Alligator mississippiensis: one gene and its partners. The protein of the gene in region 3 purifies or fractionates together with the protein of the main gene of each other region. This does not show direct contact. Links are inferred from orthologs where the notes say so. Each region holds a gene or a part of one and is shown on either strand. Other genes may lie near its edges.

The links.
Region 1: the proteins of IRF2 (region 3) and IRF2BP1 purify together in Homo sapiens (affinity purification with mass spectrometry; 4 studies listed by BioGRID and IntAct, counting the BioPlex papers as one, with this or other methods). This does not show direct contact. The link is inferred for Alligator mississippiensis from reciprocal best matches to the Homo sapiens genes IRF2 and IRF2BP1.
Region 2: the proteins of IRF2 (region 3) and IRF2BPL purify together in Homo sapiens (affinity purification with mass spectrometry; 3 studies listed by BioGRID and IntAct, counting the BioPlex papers as one, with this or other methods). This does not show direct contact. The link is inferred for Alligator mississippiensis from reciprocal best matches to the Homo sapiens genes IRF2 and IRF2BPL.

What each region holds. Positions count from the first base shown.
Region 1 is NC_081838.1:466,335-473,652, forward strand, and holds IRF2BP1 (interferon regulatory factor 2-binding protein 1), read right to left. Parts: upstream 3,004-7,318; 5' UTR 2,924-3,003; coding exon 1,190-2,923; 3' UTR 346-1,189; downstream 1-345. UniProt on the Homo sapiens protein: Acts as a transcriptional corepressor in a IRF2-dependent manner; this repression is not mediated by histone deacetylase activities. May act as an E3 ligase towards JDP2, enhancing its polyubiquitination. Represses ATF2-dependent transcriptional activation.
Region 2 is NC_081825.1:262,647,325-262,654,864, forward strand, and holds the start of IRF2BPL (probable E3 ubiquitin-protein ligase IRF2BPL), read right to left. Parts: upstream 3,004-7,540; 5' UTR 2,621-3,003; coding exon 365-2,620; 3' UTR 1-364. UniProt on the Homo sapiens protein: Probable E3 ubiquitin protein ligase involved in the proteasome-mediated ubiquitin-dependent degradation of target proteins. Through the degradation of CTNNB1, functions downstream of FOXF2 to negatively regulate the Wnt signaling pathway.
Region 3 is NC_081825.1:71,102,085-71,109,333, forward strand, and holds the start of IRF2 (interferon regulatory factor 2), read left to right. Parts: upstream 1-4,240; 5' UTR 4,241-4,468; intron 4,469-7,249. UniProt on the Homo sapiens protein: Specifically binds to the upstream regulatory region of type I IFN and IFN-inducible MHC class I genes (the interferon consensus sequence (ICS)) and represses those genes. Also acts as an activator for several genes including H4 and IL7.

The DNA.
Region 1 (7,318 bases), on a different chromosome or scaffold from region 3:
CAGGGGAGGGGTGCCCCCAGCTGGGCTTGGCCTCCCCACAACCCAGGCCCCTCCCCTCCAGGCAGATACGCCCCCCGCCCCCGCAAATGACATGACCAGCCAGGAGTCAGCGGTAACCAAAGCCAAACAGAAGTAGAAGTTTATTGACAAAAACCAAGAGAAACACAAATGGAGAAGACCCCCCACCCCCATTATAGCCCCCAGAGCGTATTGTGCGCCCCCCCCCCCCAGCCCTGGCATCATGAGGCTGTCCCCCCACCCTGGCTCTGCCCCCCCTGCCTGGGGCCCTTGGTTCAGAGACCAGCCCCCCCCACAGGCCTGAGTCCCATCATGGGAGCTGTGATGCCCCCCCCCAATTCCAGCTGCCCCCCCATGGGATTGGGGGGGGGGCACAGGTCCACAAGGACTCTTCAAGAGGCCACATCCAGCTCAGCCCCCCCTCCCCCCCTACACACACACGGTAACAGGGGGCTGGTCTGCTACCCTATGGCCCTGGAGGAGGTTTGCAACCCCCCACCCCCAAGTCCCCCACGGAGGGCTCCCCCACCCCCCCAGCCAGGCCGAGAGAAACTGAAGCAGGGTGGGTCTAAGCCCTGCCGCCCAGCTCCACCCACTAGGCCACACTCCGCCAATCAGAGCTGGGAGAGACCCCCCAGCCCCTCGGGTGCCCACCATAGCGATAGCGGGTCTGACACCTGCCCCCCAGGAGTCCTGGCTCCCACCTGCTCTGGAGGACTGAGGGGGCACGAGTCAGGAGGGAGGGGCTCCAGATGCCCCAACTGAGCCACTACCCTGTGCCTGCCCCCAGCTCCCGTTTTCTACCCACCTCTGTACCCTGGGGGGGGCACAGGGAGCCTCCCCATCTGGCGGGCTGCATCCGGGGCCCCCACATCACTCCCCTGCATCCCCGCCCTGGTGGCTTGACATGAGTTCATCCATTCTCAGCCACGATGCCCCCTCCCATTGCCCCCCCATCGCCCCCCCCGCATCAAGCTGCTACGAAGCAAGCCCCCCCACCCCTGGTTATGCTGATATGGCCTTCGATATAAGATTGCTATGGGAATATTAAAAAATAAACTATGTACAGGGCCCCGGCCGGGGACAAAGGCAATAAGTTAGCGGTGCCAGTCCCTCCGGCCCCCCCGGCGCAGGCAGCACGCGGGCTCCCCCTGCCACAGCCCGGCGGCGCTCAGGGGTCCCGCTCCTTCTTGACACGGACGTCGCCGGCCAGGATGGTGGCGATCTCACCCTGCATGAAGGCCCAGGGCACGCTGGAGCCCACCAAGGGGCACTTCTCGCCGCTGGGGCAATACACCTCGCCTGCCGCGCCCTGCGCCTTGATGAAGTCGCGGGAGCAGGGGAAGCAGAACTTGTGGCCAGGCACCGAGGGGCACTGCACAAAGTGGGTGTCCTCCAGGCGCTCGTGGCAGATGGTGCAGCACAGCGGGGCGCTGGGGGGGCCCCCGGACGAGTCGGGGGTGCTGCCGCTGGGCTCGGGGCCGCCGGAGGAGTGTGCCGCCGAGGAGGAGGAGGAGGAGGAGGGGGCCACGGCCGTGGCGGCGTCACCGCTGCGGGGCACCAGGCGGTGGGGGCCGGTGGCGGCAGGCGAGGCGGGGCTGGCGCTGCTCTGGCGCGTGGTGGAGTGCACCGGGTTGGCCTCCTTGGGCGACTGGCCGGCGCCCAGCGCATCCGCCACGTTCTTGAGCGCGGCGATGGGCGAGGGCTCGTTGCGTGGCGCCGCCTCGTAGGCCCAGTGCTGCCGCTGCTGCTGCTCCTCGCCCGTCAGCTTCCCGTTGCCGCCGCCCTCGTCCGGCTCCGGGGACGCCTTGCGGCGCCGCAGCAGGGCCCTCGGCGGCACGGCCCGCAGCAGCGCGCCGGGCAGCACGGCGCAGGCCCCGTCCAGGTGCTGCTGGGGCAGGGCCTCGGGCGCCGGCGCGTCCCGGAAGAAGCGCACGCCCTCGGTGAAGAGCTCGCCCAGCAGGCGCCAGTCGCCCGAGCCGTGGCGCTTCTCGTACTCCAGGTACTTGTAGCCCGAGGAGATGACCTTGCCGGGGTCCTTGACGCAGTCCTGGAACATCTGCTTGGCCAGCCCCAGCGCGCCGGCGTAGACGCTGCCCGAGCCGCACGGGTACTCGGTGAAGAGCTTGAGCTCGAACTCGTAGCCGGGGCGCGGGCTGGCGTCGAAGGCGAAGACGCGCCCCACCAGCGCGTGGTCCTTCTTGAAGCGCACGTTGAAGGGCGCGCAGCCCACCAGCGCCGCCAGCTGCTCCCGCACCGCCTTGGGCTTGCCCAGCCAGTCCTCGGCGCGGCCCCGCATGGCCTCGCTCAGCTCGGCCAGGCACTCGGCGTTGCGCTGCCGCTCGCGCTCCTTGGCCTCCAGCCCCGCGCGCCCGCCCAGCCCCGCCACGGCCGCCAGCAGCCCCGCCGGCGCGCCCAGCAGCCCCAGCCCGGGCCCGGGCCCCGCGCCCAGCAGCGCGCGCCGCGCCGTCGGGCTGCCGCGCTCCTCCTCGGCCCGCGCCAGCCCGTTGGGCAGCCGCGCCAGCCCGAAGCGCTCCGCCTCCTTGGGCGGCTTGGGCGCCGGCGGCCCCGGCGAGCGCCCGTCCGGCAGCGCCTGCGAGCGCCGCAGCTGCCGCGCGGCCTCCAGCAGCGGCTCCACGCGGTCCGCGCCCTCGAAGTTGACGCAGCCGCGGCACACCGGCTCGCTGAAGTCCCACAGCATCGCCCACGGCATCTTGGGCAGGTCGCACAGGTAGCACCACTGCCGCCGCGCCGCGCCCGGCCCCGCCAGCGCCAGCGCCACCGGCCCCGGCCCGGGCCCCGCCACCGGCAGCGCCATCATCGCCCGGCCCCGCCGGACCGCCGCCGCCGCCGCCCGCCCGCCGCGCCGCCCCGTTACATAACCGCGCGCGGCGCGCCGGGACATGTAGTCCGCGCCTTAAAGGGGCCCGCGCCGCGCCGCGCCGCGCCGCGCCGAGCACTGCGCGCTCCGCGGGGGACCCCGGCGTCCTGCCCCCCCCGCTCCGGACCCGTGCACCAGCGCCCGGAGCTGCGGATGGAGCCCAGCGACCCCCCATAACCACTAGCTCGCACTCCCCCCTGCCAGGGGTCCGACCCCCCAACCACTAGCCCCCACTCCCCCCTGCCAGGGCTCTGAACCCCCAAACCACTAGCCCCCACTCCCCCCTGCCAGGCGTCCGACCTCCCCAACCATTAGCCCCCACTCCCCCCCCTGCCAAGGGTCTGAACTCCCCAACCACTAGCCCCCACTCCCCCCCCGCCAGGCGTCTGCCTCCTCCACCCAAACACTAGCCCCCACTACCCCCCCTCCCCTGCCAGGCGTCTGACCCCTCCACCCAAACCACTAGCCCCCACTACCCCCCCTTCCCTGCCAGGAGTCTGCCCCCTCTACCCCAACCACTAGCCCCCACTTCCCTCCCCTGCCAGGCATCTGCCCCCTCCACCCAAACACTAGCCCCCACTACCCCCCTTCCCTGCCAGGCATCTGACCCCTCCACCCTAACCACTAGCTCCCACTTCCCTCCCCTGCCAGGCGTCTGCCCCCTCCACCCTAACCACTAGCCCCCACTACCCCCCTCCCCTGCCAGGCATCTGCCCCCTCCACCCAAACACTAGCCCCCACTACCCCCCTTCCCTGCCAGGAGTCTGCCCCCTCCACCCTAACCACTAGCCCCCACTTCCCTCCCCTGCCAGGCATCTGCCCCCTCCACCCAAACACTAGCCCCCACTACCCCCCCTCCCCTGCCAGGCGTCTGACCCCTCCACCCTAACCACTAGCCCCCACTACCCCCCCTCCCCTGCCAGGATCCAACCCCCCCCTAACCGCTAGCCCGCACTCCCCCTCCCCTCCCCTGCCAGGCGTCCGATCGCAGCCACTAGCGGGCAGAGAACCCAGGCGTCCGGGCCGGGCCGGCGGGGGGAGCAGGACAGAGACCTCCCCCGTGGGAGGGGTGCGGCAGCGAAGGGGTTAAGCCGGCGCACTACAACTCCCGGCATGCCCCGCGCTGTGCGCGCACTTCCCCTTCCCGCTACTCCTTCCGCTTTCTCCCCCCCCCTCCCCGCGCTGGCTGTGCTGCGTCACGTGGTTTCGCTTGCCGCCCCGCCCCCCTGCCGCGGATCGCGCGCGGTCCGAGCGCCGCCAAGTTCCCTCCCGCCAGCTCGCGGCTGCGGCCTTGCGTCTGGGGGCGGGGCCAGGCCAGGGGCGGGGTTCTGCGTGTGGCTGAATGTGGGGGTTGGGGCGAGGGGACACGCGTGGGGGGAGGCAGCGGGGTGGGGGGCCGGATGGACGTGACCCGTGGGTACATTTCAGAGCACACAACACCGCCCCGTTCCCGGGCAGGCCCCCAATCCAGGACTGCACCCCCCTCGCCAGCCGGCCCCTGGGCTGAGGCCAGCACTGCCTCCCCGCCCGCTGCTGCTTAATGCCCAGCCCCGAGGGGGGGTCCCTGCACCCCGCGTGCGGCCGCCGGGCTCCCCGGGGGGAGCGGGTCCGTGCCCAGCCTCCCCGCCTCGCAAGGGTTAACCCGGGCCGGGCTGCAGTCCCCGCGGCAGCCAGCAGGCGGCGGCCGAGCCCTGCGCGGGGGGGCCGCGGGGGCGACCTGCTCTAACCACTAGCCTCAGCTCCCAGCGCTGTGCTGGGGAGCCCGGAGTCCTGCTCCCCCCTTGCACCGTCTGGCCGACATTTCCCCTGTGACATCACAATAGGACCCAGGTGTCCGGGGGCAGTGACCCCCCCGTGGAGGTGGGGCTGGGGGGGCCCTGGGCACCGACCCCTTGCAGGGGGCGCAGGCCTCAGCCCCCCTCCCCCCGTACACCGGGGTGGACGGACATCCCGTGCTGGGCAGGGGGTACGGGCCCCCCCGCGGGGCAGGGCTGGGGGACCCCGGCGTCCCGGCAGACAAAGGGGGGGCGGGGCGCGGGGCCCAGATGTGCGGCCGCGGACAATGGGCGGCGGGAAGGGACAGATGGGGCGGCCGCACAATGGAGCCGCGCGCCGCTCGCCCCCCCCAAAGGGGCCATCTGCTCCCCCCCCTCCTTCCCCCCCCCCCGCGGGGCCCAGGCCGGAGCCTGGCGGGGCCGATCTGCGCTTCCAGGGCCTGGGCCTGCCCCAGGCCTTTCTGGGGGGCTGGAATCCCGTGCCCTGCAGGGCCCGGGGTGCCCAGACGGGGTCCCAGGGCCGGGTCTGGCGTCCAGGGCAGGCAGGCAGATGTGGCATCTGCGCCAAGGCCCCTGGGCAGGTCCAGGCTCCTGGGTCTTCCCGGGCCTGGCCCTGATTCCTGCACCATGGCCTGGAGAGACCCCAGGTGTCCAGCCCCCCTCCCCACTGACCTCTGCCCCCAACTGCCCTCTCTGAGTCGGGGAAAGAGCCCCAGCATCCTGATCTGCCACTGCCTGCTCCAGCTCCCTGCCCACCCCCAGCCCCCCATGGCGGGACAGAACCCAGGCACCCTGGCCTGGGGAGCACAGGGGTGGTCTGAGCCACTGCCCCCCCAGCCCTGTCCATCTGTCCAGCCTCAGGACTCCTCCTCCCACGCCAGGAAGCCGAGCCGAGGCCACGTTTCCTCCCTGTGGCTGCTTTCCGCCTCGTGCGGGGGCGGGGGGGGGGCGCTGTGGCTGTGTTGGGTGCCACAGGCCTAGGTTGCCCCCCCCCCGCTTCTCCGCACTGGAGAAACTGAGGCACAAAGGGGAAGGGCAGTTCTGCAAGTCCCTGGCCTGCCAGTGTGTGGGGGGAAGGGTCTGGAGGGTGGAGTCTTAGCCCCCCCCACACCAGGACCCTGGGACCCCTAGCTAGCAGGCTGGCCCCAAGGGGTGCAGACCCCAGAGTGGAGCTTTTGACCCCACCATTGCCCAAAAGAGGGTCCAGGTGCTGGGTTCCCTCCCTTGGCTCTAGATGAGAGGGGGCTGGGGGGTAAGAGCGAGGGGCTTCCGGGGCAGTTGGGTGCTGCCCCCCAGGGTCCTCCCACCCCCTCCCAGGGGCGCTCTCACCCCTCCCCACGTGCCCTGTGCTCCCTCTCCCTGGTGCTCTCATTTCCTCTTGAGCTCAAGGTGAATCGGAGCACTCGGGACGGATGGACGGAGCCCCAGGGCGGACATGGGGTGAGCACGTGTGGGGGTGGGGGGCAGGTAGATGGATAGGTAGGGGTGAAGGGAGGGATGGATAGACGATGGACGAATGGATGGAGAGATGAATGGATGAATGCTGGATGGACAGGTGGGTGGATAGATGGATTGATGGATGGATGATGGATCAATAGATCAATAGGTGGATGGATGGATAGATATGGGAGATGGATAGGCGATGGACAGATAGCAAGAGTGGTGGATAGATGCTGGATGGATGGATGGACAAATGACAGGTCAATACATAGGGATAGATGGATAGGCGATGGATAGAGAGCAAGATGGATGCTGGATGGATAGCTGGGTAAATAGATATATGGGTAGTAGATGGATTGATGGATGCTATATGGAGAGAGAGATAATGGATGGGTGGAGTGGGATGGATAGATAGCAAGATGGGTGGATGAATGGATAGGTAGAGAGATGCTGGGGATAGATACATGAATGGATAGATGGGTGGATGGATAAGTGATAGGTGAATAGACAGACGGATGGACAGATAGCAAGATGGCTAGATGGATGCTGGATGGGTGGATAATGATAGGTGGATAGATGGATTGATCAATGGATGATAGATGGTGGATAGATGGAGGGATAAGGATAGGTCAATAGACAGATGGAGAGGTTGTAGATGGGTGGATGGATAGATATGTGGATAGACAGCAAGATGCATAGATGGAAGGGTGCTGGATGGACATATTTCATAGATGTCATAGACATTAGGGCTGGAAGGGACCCGGGAAGATCATCGAGTCCAGCCCCCTGCCCAAAGGGCAGGAAGTCAGCTGGGGTCATAGGATCCCAGCAAGATGAGCATCCAGTTTCATCTTGAAGGTGTTCAATGAAGGCGCTTGAACGACCTCCGGTGGCAGGCTGTTCCAGACCTTGGGGGCTCGGACAGGAAAAATTCTTCCTTATGTCCAGCCTGAAACGATCTTGTAGTAGTTTGTGACCATTCGACCTCATCATCCCTTGGGGCGCTCTGGTGAACAAACGTTCCCCCAGATCCTGGTGGTCACCCCTGATAAACTAGTAGGTGGCCATCAGATCACTTGCAGATAAGTAGATGTTAGGTGGATACATTGGATGGATGATGGATGGATAGATGGATAGATAACAATAGGTCAATAGACAAATGGATAGATAGGTGGATAGATTGATAGAGAGATCGATGGATGGG
Region 2 (7,540 bases), about 190 Mb from region 3:
TTGGCAAAAAAAAAAAGTTGTATTTTTTTCTTTTTTCTTCTTCTTCTTCTGTCAGAGAAGTGCATACATTTACAAAAATACACACCAGCAGCAGGTAATCGCTAAGGGCTATTAACTGTGTACCTAGCCAACACACTGCCAAAGAAATGAGACCAGGGCTTATGGAGTAACCAAACAATATTATATTCTGTTTAACAAAAACCAGCTCTATCCTTCAAATGAAGAAGAGTACATACCTTTGTTTCAAAATATAGAAACGTACGACGAAAATAATGTCTATACATCAGACTAACTTTGTTGCAGTCCGTTATATTCACAATTCTACAGGTTCAGGAGCCTGGAGGGAGGGGCTGGGCGGCCTAGTTCAAGGGTCTCTCTCCTTTTTCACTTTCACGTCCCCGGCTAAAATGGTGGCGATCTCGCCCTGCATAAACGCCCAAGGCACGTTGGAACCGACAAGGGGGCATTTCTCTCCGCTGGGGCAGTAGACCTCGCCCGTGGCCCCCTGGGCCTTGATGCTCTCTCGGGAGCAGGGGAAGCAGAACTTGTGGCTGGGCACGGACGGGCACTGCACGAAGTGCGTGTCCTCCAAGCGTTCGTGGCAGATGGTGCAGCAGAGGGGGCCGCTGTTGGCCATGGGCGAGTCGGGAATGTTTTGGGGGTGCACGGGGTCCATGCCAGGGTGGGCGCTAGGGGGAGGGGGGGCCACCTGCAGGTTCATGTCGCCGTTGCGCGAGGCCAGGCGGCGCTGGCCGGGCACCGAGGCGGGGGACACGGGGCTGCTGCTGTTCCGGCGGCCGGCCGTGGTGGAGTGCACGGAGCTGCCGTCCTTGGGCGAGTGCGCCGTGCCCAGCGTGTCGGCCACGGACATGAGCGCCGCCATGGGCGACTGCCCGTTCTGCGGGGCCGCCTCGGGCGGCGTGGTCCGGTTGGGGTGCGGGCCCAGCGGCGGCGGCGGCGGCGGCGGGCCTCCGCCGTGCACGGCGCCGAAGCCGCCCGCCGCCATGGTGAGCTTGAGCGCTTCGCTCTGGCTGGCCATCCACTGCTGCCGCTGCTGCTCCTCGCTCAGCTTCAGCCCCGCCTCGGCCGAGTCCGGCGGCTCGGGGGACGCCTTCCTCTTGCGCAGCCCACCCCCGCCGCCGCCGCCGCCGCCGCCGCCCGGGCCCCGCGCCGAGCCGGCCGCCGCGCCCTGCCCCGCCGCGGGGCCGCCGGCCGGCCGGGGCAGGCTGACGAGCGCCGTGGGCAGCATGGGGCAGCTGGCGTCCAGGTAGGGCTGCGGCAGCATGTCGGCGCCCACCAGCTCCTTGAAGAAGCGCACGGACTCGGGCAGCAGGTCGCCCAGCAGGCGCCAGTCGCCGGAGCCGTGCTTCTTCTCGTACTCCAGGTACTTGAAGCCCGAGGACAGGCCGCGCCCGAAGTCCTTCATGCAGTCCTGGTACATCTGCTTGGCCACGCCCGAGGCGCTGGAGAAGACGGTGCCCGAGCCGCTGGGGTACTCGATGAAGAGCTTCAGCTCGTAGTCCAGGCCCGGCTTGGACACGGCGTCGAAGGCGAAGACGCGGCCGAGCAGCGTGTGGTCCTTCTTGAAGCGCACCTCGTAGGGCGTGCAGCCCGCCAGCGTCAGCAGCGTGTCGCGCACCAGCTTGGGCTTGCTGGCCCACTCCTCGGCGCGGTTGCGCAGGCTTTCGCCCAGCTCGGCCAGCGCCTCGGCGTTGCGCTGCTTCTCCTTCAGCTCGCGCTCCTGCTCGCTGCTGGACACCGAGCCGGGCCGCTTGTCGCCCGCCGCGCCGGGGCCCGGCCCGCCGCCGCCGCCGCCGCCCGGCCCCGCGCCGCCCGGCCCCGCGCCGCACGCGCCCGCCGGCGCCGAGCCCGAGGCCGCGGGGGGGCCGCCGCCGCCGCGCCCGCTCAGGCTGCCGTGCGGCGGGGGAGGCAGCGCCACGCCGGCGGCCGCCGGGCCGTTCAGCAGCGTCTGCGGCAGCAGGTTGGGCGGCACGCTCAGCCCGGCGCCGCCCGCGCCCGGCGGCAGCCCGGCCACCAGTCCGCCGTGCGCGCCGCGCCGCGACGACGCCGCCGCCGAGGCCGACGAGGAGTTGGGGCTCTGGCGGTTCAGCTCGGGCGGCCCGTCCTCAGGCGCCTTGGGGAAGCCGTTCGGGCCGCCCAGCCCGTTGGGCAGGCGGGCGGCCAGGCTGCCCGGCGGCGGCGGGTACTCGAAGCGGCCGCGCGGCTCCGCCGCCGCGCTCAGCCCGTAGCGCTCGAGGCCGGCCGGCGCCAGCCCCGCCGAGGCGGCCTTGGCTGACGCGTCCACGTGGTTCAGCTGCTGCTGCTGCTGCTGCTGGGCCGCTGCCGCCGCCGCCGCCGCCTCCTTGGCGGACAGCGGCACCGCCTTGACCCCGACGGGCGGCGGCGGGCCCGGCGAGCGCCCGTCCTGGAAGCAGCCGTGCGCCCGCTTGAGCTGCCGCGCCGTCTCGATGACGAACTCGATGCGGTCGGCGCCCTCGTAGTTGACGCAGCCGCGGCACACGGGCTCCGTGAAGTCCCAGATCATGGCCCAGGGCATGCGGGGCAGGTCGCACAGGTAGCACGACTGTCTCCGCGACGACGACACCTGCGCGGCCGACATGGTGCCGCGGGCGGCGGCGCTCCCCGTGCCGGCTCCCGCGGGCCCTGGCGGCGGGGGCTCGGCTCGCCGCTGCTGCCGGACAGCGCTGCCCTCTTGCTACCTGGCGCCGGCAGCGTCGCCTGCTCCCGCTCCCGCTCCGCGCCGCTCCGCCGGGGGGCTGGCTGGGCTGGGCTGGGGTCGCCTTCTCGCCGCTGTTTCCCGGCGCGCTCTCGCTCTGGCTCTCGGCGGCGGCTCCTCCTCCGCGCGGGGGGCGAGGGGGGGCGGCCTTCTACCCGGCGCCTTTTACCCGGGGACCCGCGGGAGGAGCCGCCCGGGCCGGGCCCGCTCTCCGCGCTGCTGGCGAGCGGCGCCGCCTGCTCCGCACTCACATCTCGCCGCTGCTCGGGGCTCGCGCTCGGAATCCGGAGTGTGTCGCGTCCGGCGTGGCCCCGCCCCCCCCGCCCGGCGCGGCGCGGATGCCACCGGGGTGGAGCCCTCGCGTCACGCCCGCTCCGCCCCGCCCCCCGCCGCAGTTCCCCTTTCCAGCCTCCCTCCCCTCCCCCCACTTCCTCTGCCTACGGACGCGGAGGCCACTTGTTGCGCGGAAATTGCGCATGCTCGGCCCGCTGCCCGCTTCCTCCCTCCCGGCTGCGCGACAGCTGAGGCAGCGGGAGAGACGCACCGAGGGCTATGTTTGGAAACTCAGACACGAACTCGCTCCCGCTCCCAGCCCCCCGGCAGCTCCTCCCGAGCCAGGAGGCGGCCGGGAAGCACATGCGGAGCAGCCCGGCCGCAGGAGGACACGCACTTCGTGCAGTGCCGGCCGCAGGGGGCTGCCCGCTCCTGGCTGTCAGATGAGCCGGGCCCGGCTGCCAGAGCCGCAGGGGGCGGGGCGGGGCGGGGCGGGGCTGGGCGCGGCCGGGCTGGTGACCCCCAGGGGAGGGCCGCCGGATCCCCCCACGCAGGGGCAGCGCCGAGCTTTCGTTTTCCTTCTCGGGCTGCGCTGGTCAGCAGCCGCTCCAGGTCATGCAAATGCGCTGTGAACGCGTCGCACTCGCAGGGGAAAACGCGCTTTATTTTCGAGGCTGCAGCTGTGACGCTGGAGCGTGGCCGTGGCCGTGGCCGTGGCCGGGCGGAGGTTGCGGCTGCAGCGTCCGCAAGCCCCGGCCCCAGGCCCCCCACCCCCGCGGCCCGAGCCTGGCGCGCTCCTGTGCCCAGGGCCCTGCGTCACTGGTCGCACCATGTAGCTCGCTCCCAGGGTGACTCCCCCTCGCCAGGGAAACATTGCTGCACTCCCCGAGCTGTAACGCTGCAGCTGGTCACGCCGGATAACCCCTCTCTTGTTTTTGCTCCTCATTCAGCTCGCCTTCATTGAACGCAGAAGAGAACAAAAAAAATGGCCTTTTGATTTCTCTCCCTCTCCTGCAAAGGCCGCTCTAATTTCTGTGGCATGGCGCCATGTCCCCTCTCCACAAAAACGTACAGTATTAACAACGCAGTGCTTCGTGCCTCGTGAAAGAGGGACCAGCGGGGTATCAGCTCTGTTCAAGTTTCTTCAAATAACGTGATTCCCTTCAAATCCCCGCTGCTTCTCAGGGCCACGTCCAGGGCTCTTAAAGCCGGCAAACTTGATGTGAAATGATATGTCCGGCTTTTTTTAAGAGAAAAAGCGACCTGAAACGCAGGCCGTAAAGCTACAGAAGGGACGGGCTCCGATCCAGCCAGCTCTGACCAGGTGCCATCATTTTTCCAAAGGGGCAGCTCATGGGGCAACGAGGTAGAAAGGAAAACCGAAAGTCCTTGGATGAGCTAAGTCTCTCGCGTGCACAATTTCTGTAGGAGATGAACTCCCGGGGGATGGTTTGCACATGGAGGAGTGTCATACCCAGGCTGCGGACAATATCAAGGCTTCATTGAAGCGGAGTCCAGCGAGGCAGGTGGAGGCGGGGGGCGAGCGGCCTCTCCTCGCAGCGCCCCGGGGGGCTTGGGGAAGGCTGCGGGGCTTCCCCTCCATGTCACTGGACTTGTCTGAACACGATGTGCTCGCTGTCACACAGACCTGAAGGGCAACCCCCTCTCCCCTTCCCCCTGCTCTGTGATCTGCACGTAAGCAACAGAATTGGGCGATGAGAAAAAAAAGTCTTCCCTTTGCCTAAATCATGCCAGCCGAGGAAGCAGAGGTCCCCCCGGCCCTGGCTCTCTGGGAAGGGGATGCGAGAGGAGTGGAGCTGGATTTCACTCCACAAATGCCAAGGCGCTCCCTCGCCCTGGCTCCTCTGACTCCTAACTGCGGGAAAGCCCCAGGCTCCCCGCAGGAGCGGCCAGGCCCCGGGCTCACGAGACCAGCGCAGGGAAACAATAACCAGAGAGCAGATCTAGCCTCAGCAAAGCGCTCACGGGTGCTGGCAACTCCCTTTCTAGTCTGGGAACAGAAAAAGATGGGCGATTAGCACGTGTGAGCCGGCTCCGCGGCCTTTCCTCTTCCGGGAAGGATGCGCTGGTGGGAGCGGGGATTTCTTTTCCCGTGATGATTAAACCCGGCTTTGAAGCGGGGCCCCGGGGGTCCCTGCCTGGGAGGCGGCGGCACCGAGCGGCCGGGCAGGACCCATCTGGGCTGCTGGAGGGGAGCAGAGTGAACGATGCCAACCTAACAGTCAACGCTAAAATCTCCCTCAAGGGCGGCAGGGCGCCTCTCCCACCGCGCTGTCCTTTCGCCGGCCAGGAGCAGGGCGGCAGGAAGCCGGGTGAGTCTCCTTGGGCCGCCACTCAGCCAGAGAGATGTTTCTTTAGCTCTGCAATAATCCTGGAATTAAAGCGCGTGTGGAGGAGAAGCAGGAGGAAAGGCAAGAGCCCAGGCAAGGAAGTCTCCCAGGTGTGTGCCCCGGTGCCAGCACACACGCAGCCCGGCAGCGCCAGCGGCGGGGGCTGGTGGCCGGGCGCGGCCCGAGCCGAGGGGCCGCGATCGGGAGGCCCTGGCCCCGGTCCCTGATGAGTGACCTGCCAGCAGCCCCGGGGCCAGGGCGTCCCTCTGGCTAACACGAGCATCTGCCAGTTCCGGGCAGGAAGGTTCCGGCCCCACGGGTCCTCTCGCTCGATCCCCGTCCCCAGGTTCATGACTGACGAGAGGTGAAGCTCTGATCTGAGCAAGGGAAGCAAACAGATCAGAGGACACACGACCCGGCCGACCCTGCACACGCAGCAAGCATGGAGGACAATGTCCTACCAAGGCAGGAAGCACTCGCCTGGGCTCAGCCCCCTGCCACAGCTTGCAAATGCACTGGGGGGACGGCTGAGGTCCCTGGGAGAGCAGCACTGATTGCTACCGAGCCCTTGCCTGCGGCAGCCCCAAGGTTTTCGGCACGAGCCATGAGGACGCCGTGAACCAAGCGGAATTGCCATGAGACGTGTAGCCCGGATCCGTTCCCAGATCGGGCCGGGCCAAGGGCTCGCTCCGCACGTAGCAGCCCGGCCGCTACAAGGACACTCTTCCTTCCTGAGGAGCTCACCTCAGAAAGGGGGAGGGGGTGTTAATCAGATCTGTCCTCTCTCGTGGCCCTGCCCCGGGATCAAAGCAGCAGCTCCAGCTGCAACGCAGGGGCGGGGAGGGGGCACAGGAAGGAAGAGAAATCGTGACAGAGCCCGGCCAGTGCAGAGATCTCCCCTGGCGCAGCGCGGCAACCGGCAACCGCAGTCGCTCCCAAGCAAGTGCCTGGCTTGAAACCAGTGAAGAGGTGAACCCTGGAAAGCGCTGAGGCGTGCAGGGGAGTGTGCTCCTGAAACGGCATCGCAAATACTGGGGGAGGGACTTCCACAATTTTGTCAAATTAAAAGTGAAACAGCAGCGTCTTCTGCTGCAAACTGCCAGGAAGTGTCAAAACACGTAGTTACAAAGAGCAAGAGTGTAATTACGTGTTTCTGTTTATCGTTTCAGTTACCAGTTCTCTGCAGATTACAGGCCCTATTCGAAAATACTCCAGCTCCGGGGGCTTGTTGCTGTCTGCAGGCCTTCTTTCCAGCCTCCTGCCTAGGAATGCACCTTCCTTTCTTTCTCTGTTCTAAACCTGCCACTGGTTTCTCTACATGCTGGAGCTTACCACTTTGTAAGTGAGGCTTATGTCCCGCGCTCTATTTCTAGGAGGTTTCACTGCTAATTTTCTTTTTTTCTTTTCTTTTCTTTTCACAGTGCTGTTTCTCCTTTGCCACCACAGAGCACGGCTTGCTAGGGGGGTCTGTCTTCCTGGGGCCCTTTCGCTACTAACTACGTGATCCCACTGTACAAAATAGGTAACTTGGTTTCCCCCCCAAACCATGCAAAAGTTCCACTTCTTCCCCAGAAAGCAGCCCTGCTTCCCTTTTCATACAACTGTATTTATGGCTTTTTTAAATAATCTGTGGGCCCAGATTTCCAGGTGCCCACATTTGCCAAATCTTACAGTGCAAAATTAGACACCCATCATTATTTCTGTTTGCTCTGAAAGAGCCTAGATACCCCTGGACTGCACCCCTTGTGAGCCTGGGTTTGCCACTGTTGTTATTTTTATTTTACTCATTGACTGTATTCAGCTTACATCCTGGGGACGTAGTAAACAATCAACAATAATGAATCAACTGAATCGGTACTTCTTTTTTTTTTTTTTTTCTTTTTTTTTAAGGCTATTCCCACTGAGAGCCACTTGCACTTTCATGACAGTTAAGAATCTGCCAAACATTAGCTTAGTTACCAGCAAGACAGCCTCCCCCTCCCTTCAACCCATACACAGATTGTTTATCAAAACGTGCTGCCAAGAAAAATATCCCTGCTTTTGGCCTCCACCAGTGATTAATAACACTTGAGAACTGAACAAAACTTTACTGTGTTTAAAAAAAAAAAAAAAAGTGGGAGGGAGGAGGGGGGAAAGCCAAATTTGAAAGAGAGACAGAGAAAGAAAGAGAGAAAGAAAG
Region 3 (7,249 bases):
TGCCAGGGCCAGGAGTGGCAGGAGCATGGAGCCTGGACTTGGAGGAGCACTGGCAGGGGCTCTGCCTGCCATGGGGGGGGTGGGCAAACCCTCCCCCTCCACACATGCCACAACTCTCCCCAGCCACTCTCCCCCCCACATACTCACAGTCTCCCATAAACCCCATACTCACCCACACCCATGTTCTCCCACCCCACATACACATACACACCTATCCACCCCCACAAGCTCCACACCCACACCTTCCCCCACACTCCACATACCCACACATCCACAGTCCCCCACAAACCTATACCCATGCATCCATACCCCCACATGTCCCCCATGTGTAAGATTTCCTTTTTAGCTATTATACAATCACCTCTATGCACACTATACAAACACAAACACAGGTAAATCAAGACAAAAATGTTTTTTGAAATCACATTAATGAATGTCATAGCAGATATTTGATTTTTTAGAATATAATTTGGTATTTTTCTGGTTCCGAGATGGCAACCCCCCCTTGCATGCTTCTGGGGGGCAAGAGGACAGACTTCTGGTGGCAAAGGTCAGGGGTTAGGGGGCAGGACTTCCAGTCCCAAGATGGCAACCAGGGGGTGGGGCACCTGTCAAGGGGTGGGGCTAACCTTGTGGCCCTCAACAGCTTGCCAAAACTCAGTAAGCGGCCCTCCGCCCAAAATAATTGCCCGCTCCTGCTTTACCGTCTGCCATATAAAATGATCACAGCATTAATATTGGCTCCTACTAAATCCTGTGATTTTTTGATGAATGCTGTCATTGTAGCAACACCGAAAGTATATGGTTTAAAGTTTTGCTCTCTCTGTGGTCTCTGAAACTAGTATTTGTTACTGTTAAATATATATTATAACATTAAGTGAAATTTAGACACTGCAGAATCGCAGGTGGTTGTGAGCATTATTGAGAGGATATGTTTGTACTACAATCTAGAGATTTGATGCAACTTGTATAGTGCCAGCTTCAGACCAAATAGCTTGGGCACTAGTAATAGCAGCATGGACATTAGTGCAGGCCGCATGAATCTCCCAAATGCTTGTAGTCTGTACTGCTATAGCTAGATTGCTACCGCTAGTTGATTATAGGCTAGTTTGGAGAAATCCACATGAGCTGTCATTACACCTTTGGACTGTAGCTAAAACATACTGATAAGAGAAATGTTTTGTATTCAGCACTGACTGAAGGCCCAGTCCCAATCACAGTGGAGTCAATCAGACCTTTTAGCAGATGTTACAATGAGTCAGATGAGGCCCCAGAAAATGTAAAGTAGCAAAATTCAGGAAATTTGACAGTTTTGTCAGGGAATGTTTCAGTTGTACCAGGGGACTCTACAGTTTTGTTTGTGTGGCTATGATATTTCTTTCTAGATTAATTGTCCTTCCTTTGCTCATTCTTCTGCTTCTTAAATGTTTTAAGTACTTTTAATATGTACTGCACCATATTGCACTGGTGATTTCTGCCAGCAGGAGCCTTCTAAATGCACTATGTGGTTTCCAGATTTTTTATTATGTTCCTTTCTCTGAAGCACTGGATACTGGCCATGAATGACTAGTGATAGGAAATTGGTCTCGGTATGCTTGTGATAGTAGTAATACTTTATTTACAGCTTTCATTGGAACAATACAATAGAATTAACAGTAAAATAACATATATAATAATAAAATGTCATAAAAGCATACAATTATGTTACACATTCTACTAATTTAAACAAAAGTGACATAGAGCATAATATATGATGATACAAAAAATAGATAAATAAAGCAGTAGTAAAAATGAAAAGCAGGGAATTCTATTTGATTTTGGCCCTTATTTTTTGTTCAAGTAGGGCAAATATGCCAATGGAGTATATGATAGACTGTAAGTTGTTAGAGAGGAGCCAAACTGTCTTTTCTTCATTAGCCCAGTACTTAAAATTTTCCACTATGCCCATGTATGCTTGCTTATGTTCCTACTGGTACTGAGGAAACGGCTCATATGCCTGGCTGTTGGGCCTTGCTCATGCACTTAGGATGGAATTTTCCTCCAGTCTGTTTGGCACCGACCCCTGGAACATTTTTGTTTTCCCCTGTAGGAGTGTATTTTACCTAACAAATTCCCTACTGGAGTAGGAGCCAAAGTACTGCAGTCCTCGTTTCTCCTGCTCTTTTCCTGTGCTGTGTTGTAAGCATTCTTTGATTGTTTTCACTTTCTTTCTGGCTGTGGTATATGGAAGAAGCTGGACTTCTTGTGGACCATTTAGACAAACATTTATTACATGCATGTCTGCAATCCCAAAAAGTCCTTTCTGTGCTCCTAAAATGAAAGGTGAAAGAGAAACAAATATTCTAAAATAGTTTGGTTCATGTTTTCTTCAGGTGGACCAAGATGTGTTTTACTTTAATTAATATCACTGACAACCATTGCCTCTCTGTAGAAAAAACCCCAGATTCTCTTTGAGGTAAAATATAATTAAATAGAACAATATTACAGAAAGCTTGTATGTCAGCAAATTATGAGAAAAAAAATCTAAAATCTTTTAAAGATAGCTTATTCAGTAAGCAAATTGTGAGCATACATTGTCACCAAACATTTCATAAATATATTGGACAAGTTTCATGCAACCATTCATAGTTTTGCTCTTTTGTTATTAAAATTTAGGACAAGGTGGGTTAAGTAAAAAATAGTAGGTGATTTAAAAAAATCAAAGTGACTTGTCACCTGTGAAAAGTCAGGGTTGTGTAAATTTTTGTAGAATAAATATTTTCTTTGGATTTCCACTCACCCTGAGAATGTGAGTTCATATTTTCAAGAAATACATATTATCTTAACTAGTTCATGCTTGAAAATCTAGCTATGGCTTTTCAGACCACATCACAATCTTTTAAAATATCAACATTTGCAATATACCCGTGTGAGGGGTAAATACTATCATCCCCACTTTACAGAGGGGATATAGAGGCACTAAGAAACTAAATCAATTTCTGTGGGAGTGTGGTATCTAAATGTCTTTGTGGGCATTGACCCAAGTGACTTGCTGAGAGTCATACAGGAAATCTGACAGAGAAAAGATCCAAACCCTGTTTTTCTGATCCCCAGGATAACTCCCTAAGCCCTAGTCTTTGGAGACAACATAGTGCAGAGATGCCTTGCAGAGATCTAAAGGACAATTCTAACACAATTGGAACATTGATTTGTGTGGCACTAGGCATCTGGCTGGAAATGTACATTATTTTATCAATAAGTGAAGCTTAAAATTGCAAAGAGGGGTTGAAAATTTAACTAAAAATGTTCAGGCACACCAGTCAAGCTGCACATAAAAAAGCAATCTGTAAGGAAACTGGCAGCATATGCTGAGCATCTGGTGCATCTCCACATATTCATAATATCTGATACCCTGGGATGGAAGGAATTAGGATGCAGTGACAGCAGAGACTTGCATTATGCTTTCCCAGTCTACAGAAATTGGGAATCGGTTCTAACTCCAAACAAGCTCTTGGGCTGGGCTTTCTTTTAGGCCAATGTCTGATACCTTTTGGAGGCTGGGCTGGGTTTGTTTTCCACACCTTTTAAACGAAGAGGTTGAGTGTGCATATATTTTGGAGGGTGAGGCTGTGGAACAGGCTGCCCAGGGAATCTCCTTTCCTGGAGGTTTTCAAGAGGAGGCTGAATAGGGATTTGACAGCGGTGCTTTAGCACTAGCAGAAGGCTGTCATGTTATGCACTGCCTAAATCCGAGAGAGGTGCAGAAGCTTTCCTAAAGAGACTGTCTAAATCAGAGATGCATAAGCTTTCCAAAGCAGTGGCTTGCTTCACCAGACCCTGTGCCAGTTATGTATGTGCGCGGGGGGGCTGGACCTTGATCCCTGAGGTCCCTTCCAACCCTAGGCTTCCCTGGGAGGCTGTTGACACATCCTCGAGACATGGAGATTGGGACACTTAAAAAAAGCAAAACCGCAGAACCAGGCGTTCTTTGTCAGAGGATTAGAGAAGGAAAAAGAAAATAAAAAGGAGGAAAAAAGAGGCCAGGCTGTGGTCCAGCAGCTCCTCTGGTTTCTCTTGCCCTGGAACTGAAACCTCGCAGCCTGCCTGTGTGCGTCTCTGCCTCTCGCACACGGACACGCCGCTGCGGCTGCTGGAGGGAAGTGAAAATGAAATCGACTTTTCCGAGAAATGATGAAAGCGGCTCCGCCTGCCAATGAAAGGCTGCGGCAAACTTCCGCACCCCTTCCTCCGCCCCTCGCCCGCACAAACAGCCGGGAGGGGAGGGAAAGGGGGGGATTTCCAAGCCGCCGCTCCTCGCAGTTTCCTCTCCTTGTTTTGCTTTCGATCTGGCCCTTTCTCAGCCCAAGCGGCGAGGCAGGAACTTTTAGTTTTGCTCCTGCGATTATTCAGCGGGCGGTTTTCATTTCCACTTCGCCTCCCCTGGCAACGGCGGCACCTGGAGGGAACATTTAAATCCCGGCGCGCCGAGGTAATGTATTTTTTAAAAACCCGAACAAACAACAGCAAAGCCCGAGCAGAGCCCGGGCCCGGGGGGGAGGGGGGCACGGGGCCGCTGTCTCCCCTCCGCCCCCACAAACGCCAGGGCGCGGCGCGGGGGCAGCGCGGGCCGGGCCGGGCCGGGGGGGACGCGGCGGTGCCGCAGCGTGGGGGGGAGGCTGTGGCGCTGAGGCCGCCGCCTCCCGCCCTCCGGCCCGCCCGCCTGGCCTCCCCCCGCGGCGGCGGCCTAGCGGCGGCGGCGACAACCGGCCTGACTGCCTGCGCCCGGGCGGGGCCCGCTGTGTGGAGGGGGCTCCGTGACGCGAGCCCCGGCGCGCTCAGCCCCGCGGCCCGGAGACCAGGCCTGCCCGGGGCGCGGCCGGGTGCTCGGCCTTGCCCGCCGGGCCGGGCCGGGGCGGAGCCCCCTGGACACGGGCCCCTGCGGCGGGGCCGCCTCCGGCCTGCCTGCGACGGGGGCCAGGGCCAGGGCCGCGGGCACCAGCGCCGGGGGGCACTGCCTTCGCCTGCGAGCCCGGGGGAGAGGTGTGTGTGACCCCACCTCTCGTGTGTGTGTGTGTGTGTGTGTGTGTGAGACACACCACCTCTGTGTGAGCGTGTGTGAATCCGTGTGTGAGCCTGTGCACTTGTGCATGTGTGAGTTGTGAACCCATGTATGTCTGAGCCTGTGTGCGCGCGAGTGATCCCACCCCCCTTCCGGTCTGGAGCCAGCGAGCCTTGCCGTGCGGCGGCTGAGATGACCTTGTTTACATCCATGATTCTCACCCAGGGAGCCACATTCCCCCCTGGGGGATGCTGCACGGTGCAAGCCCTGTGAGGTGCATGCCCCAGATTCGCCCCATAAACACAAGAGGCGAGGACTTCCTAGGGCAGCATCCCTTATTGCACCAACTAGGATAGTGAGAGAAGCTTTCTAGTGTAAGACATCATGGCTCCAATGTCGCTCCTCATGGCTTCAATGTGGCTCTTATGACACCATCACCAGATAAACCCAGAGATGTTCATATAGGAGCCAGGAGTGTTAAAAGTATCCTGGCCTGTTGTGGTCTTTCTGAGTCTCTGCAACAGAAGAACATCTCTGTTAGTCTTCTGTAGTCAGAAATTGAGTGAAAGCTAAGAGCTGAGGTTGTCAGAGGGCTGCCTTGAGGCTGTCGAAGGGTGCTTTGAGTCTAGAAAGGGCAAGAATGACTGGTTTAGACCCTCAGAGGTATTTAGGTGCTGTTACCCTATGGTGCTTGAAACAGTTGTGGCAGATAGTTGGACCTTCAGTGCTGCCTGACAACATGTTTATAGAAGCAGTTCTAGAAATAAGATTTGTTTTACAGTGAGTGCTTTAGGATTGTGGCATAGATGGAGCAGTGATATACAGTCTCATGCTACTGAAGAAAAATGTCCTCCTGTGCAGCCTTCGACAACAGCCGATTAGCAGTCCAGTCCTGCACACCTCTAATACCTGCCCAGAGCCGTGACATCAGCAGGCACAATTTTACCTTCATGGATCCAGTTGCAGGCCTGGAGCTATAATGCATATTTTTATTTTTTTAAATCATTGCACCACTTGAACCTTGGTTTTTCAACTGGCATTGACATTTGAACTGTTCTTTACATGTGATGTTACAGGATCTGCTTTTTCCTTTCTGGTGCATACAGTGTTAATCCACACTCTGGATGGTAGTGTTAATCCACACTCTGGATGATCTTGTTCAGGGTCTGCTTTGTTAATGCTGTGTAGATGTACACCATCAGGGCAAGTGGCTGGTCCTGAACATTTTCACCCCCCCAAATTGTTTGTGAATGAAGTAGGAATTATAGCTGTGTGTAAATCCAGGCTCAAGTACCAAGGGCCTCTCTGCCCCCCTCACCCCATGAATACCGGGCACTTTGAATCCCTAGTGAAAGCAGTGAGTGTGAAGTTGCTCAGCATGCCAAAATTGGATCCTGAGGCCTGGATCCTCAGTGATATTTAGGAGCTTAAATTCCTTTGAAATTAGCTGGTGTTATGTACCTAGATAGCTTTGAGAATCTGTTCCTGAGTTGGTTTATTTTACCTTAGATGCTTTAATTTCTTTTACACAAGATTTCTGATATGTAAAATACATATATCATTATATTTAATAATATTGCATCTGAAATGAAATCCTACATTTTCACAGGGAGACAGCATTGTCAGTGACATGAATAATTCAATGAAAACACATTTGGTCTGTCTGAAGAAAACCGCAGACCAAGCTGTTCTAGTGCATTTATTCCTCTTTCCATATTTAATATTGAGAACATAGGACTAGAAGGGACCTCCAGAGTCCTGGAGTCAAGTCCCCTGTGATCCATTTGCAGTCACTCAGATAGAAGAGGCTTATTGATTTCAGGGTCAGAGTCTACCGCTTTCCTCCTGTTTAGTGAACACTTATAATTGTTAATGGTTATAAGTCTACTGGGTCAAAATTTTTATACTGCATTTTCTTGAACATAGTAAAAAATTTAAGCTAGATTAAATATTGTATGTTTGAGTTTAGTAAAAAAATATTTAAAATAAATCTCTCTAAGTTCTACATAGAATCCCTTTGGCAGAAAGTGAGCTAGTACTATAAGAAGAGAATTGACCACAGCAGAAACATTTAAATTTACCATAGCAGGAAAATGGTGATATGGTTATAAAAGTCACACATTTTACCTATAAAACAAATTATTTCTCTCTGAATCTGAATTTTTTCTATGCCTTGAAACATGGATAAGATTTCACTGTCCCTCTGCTTGA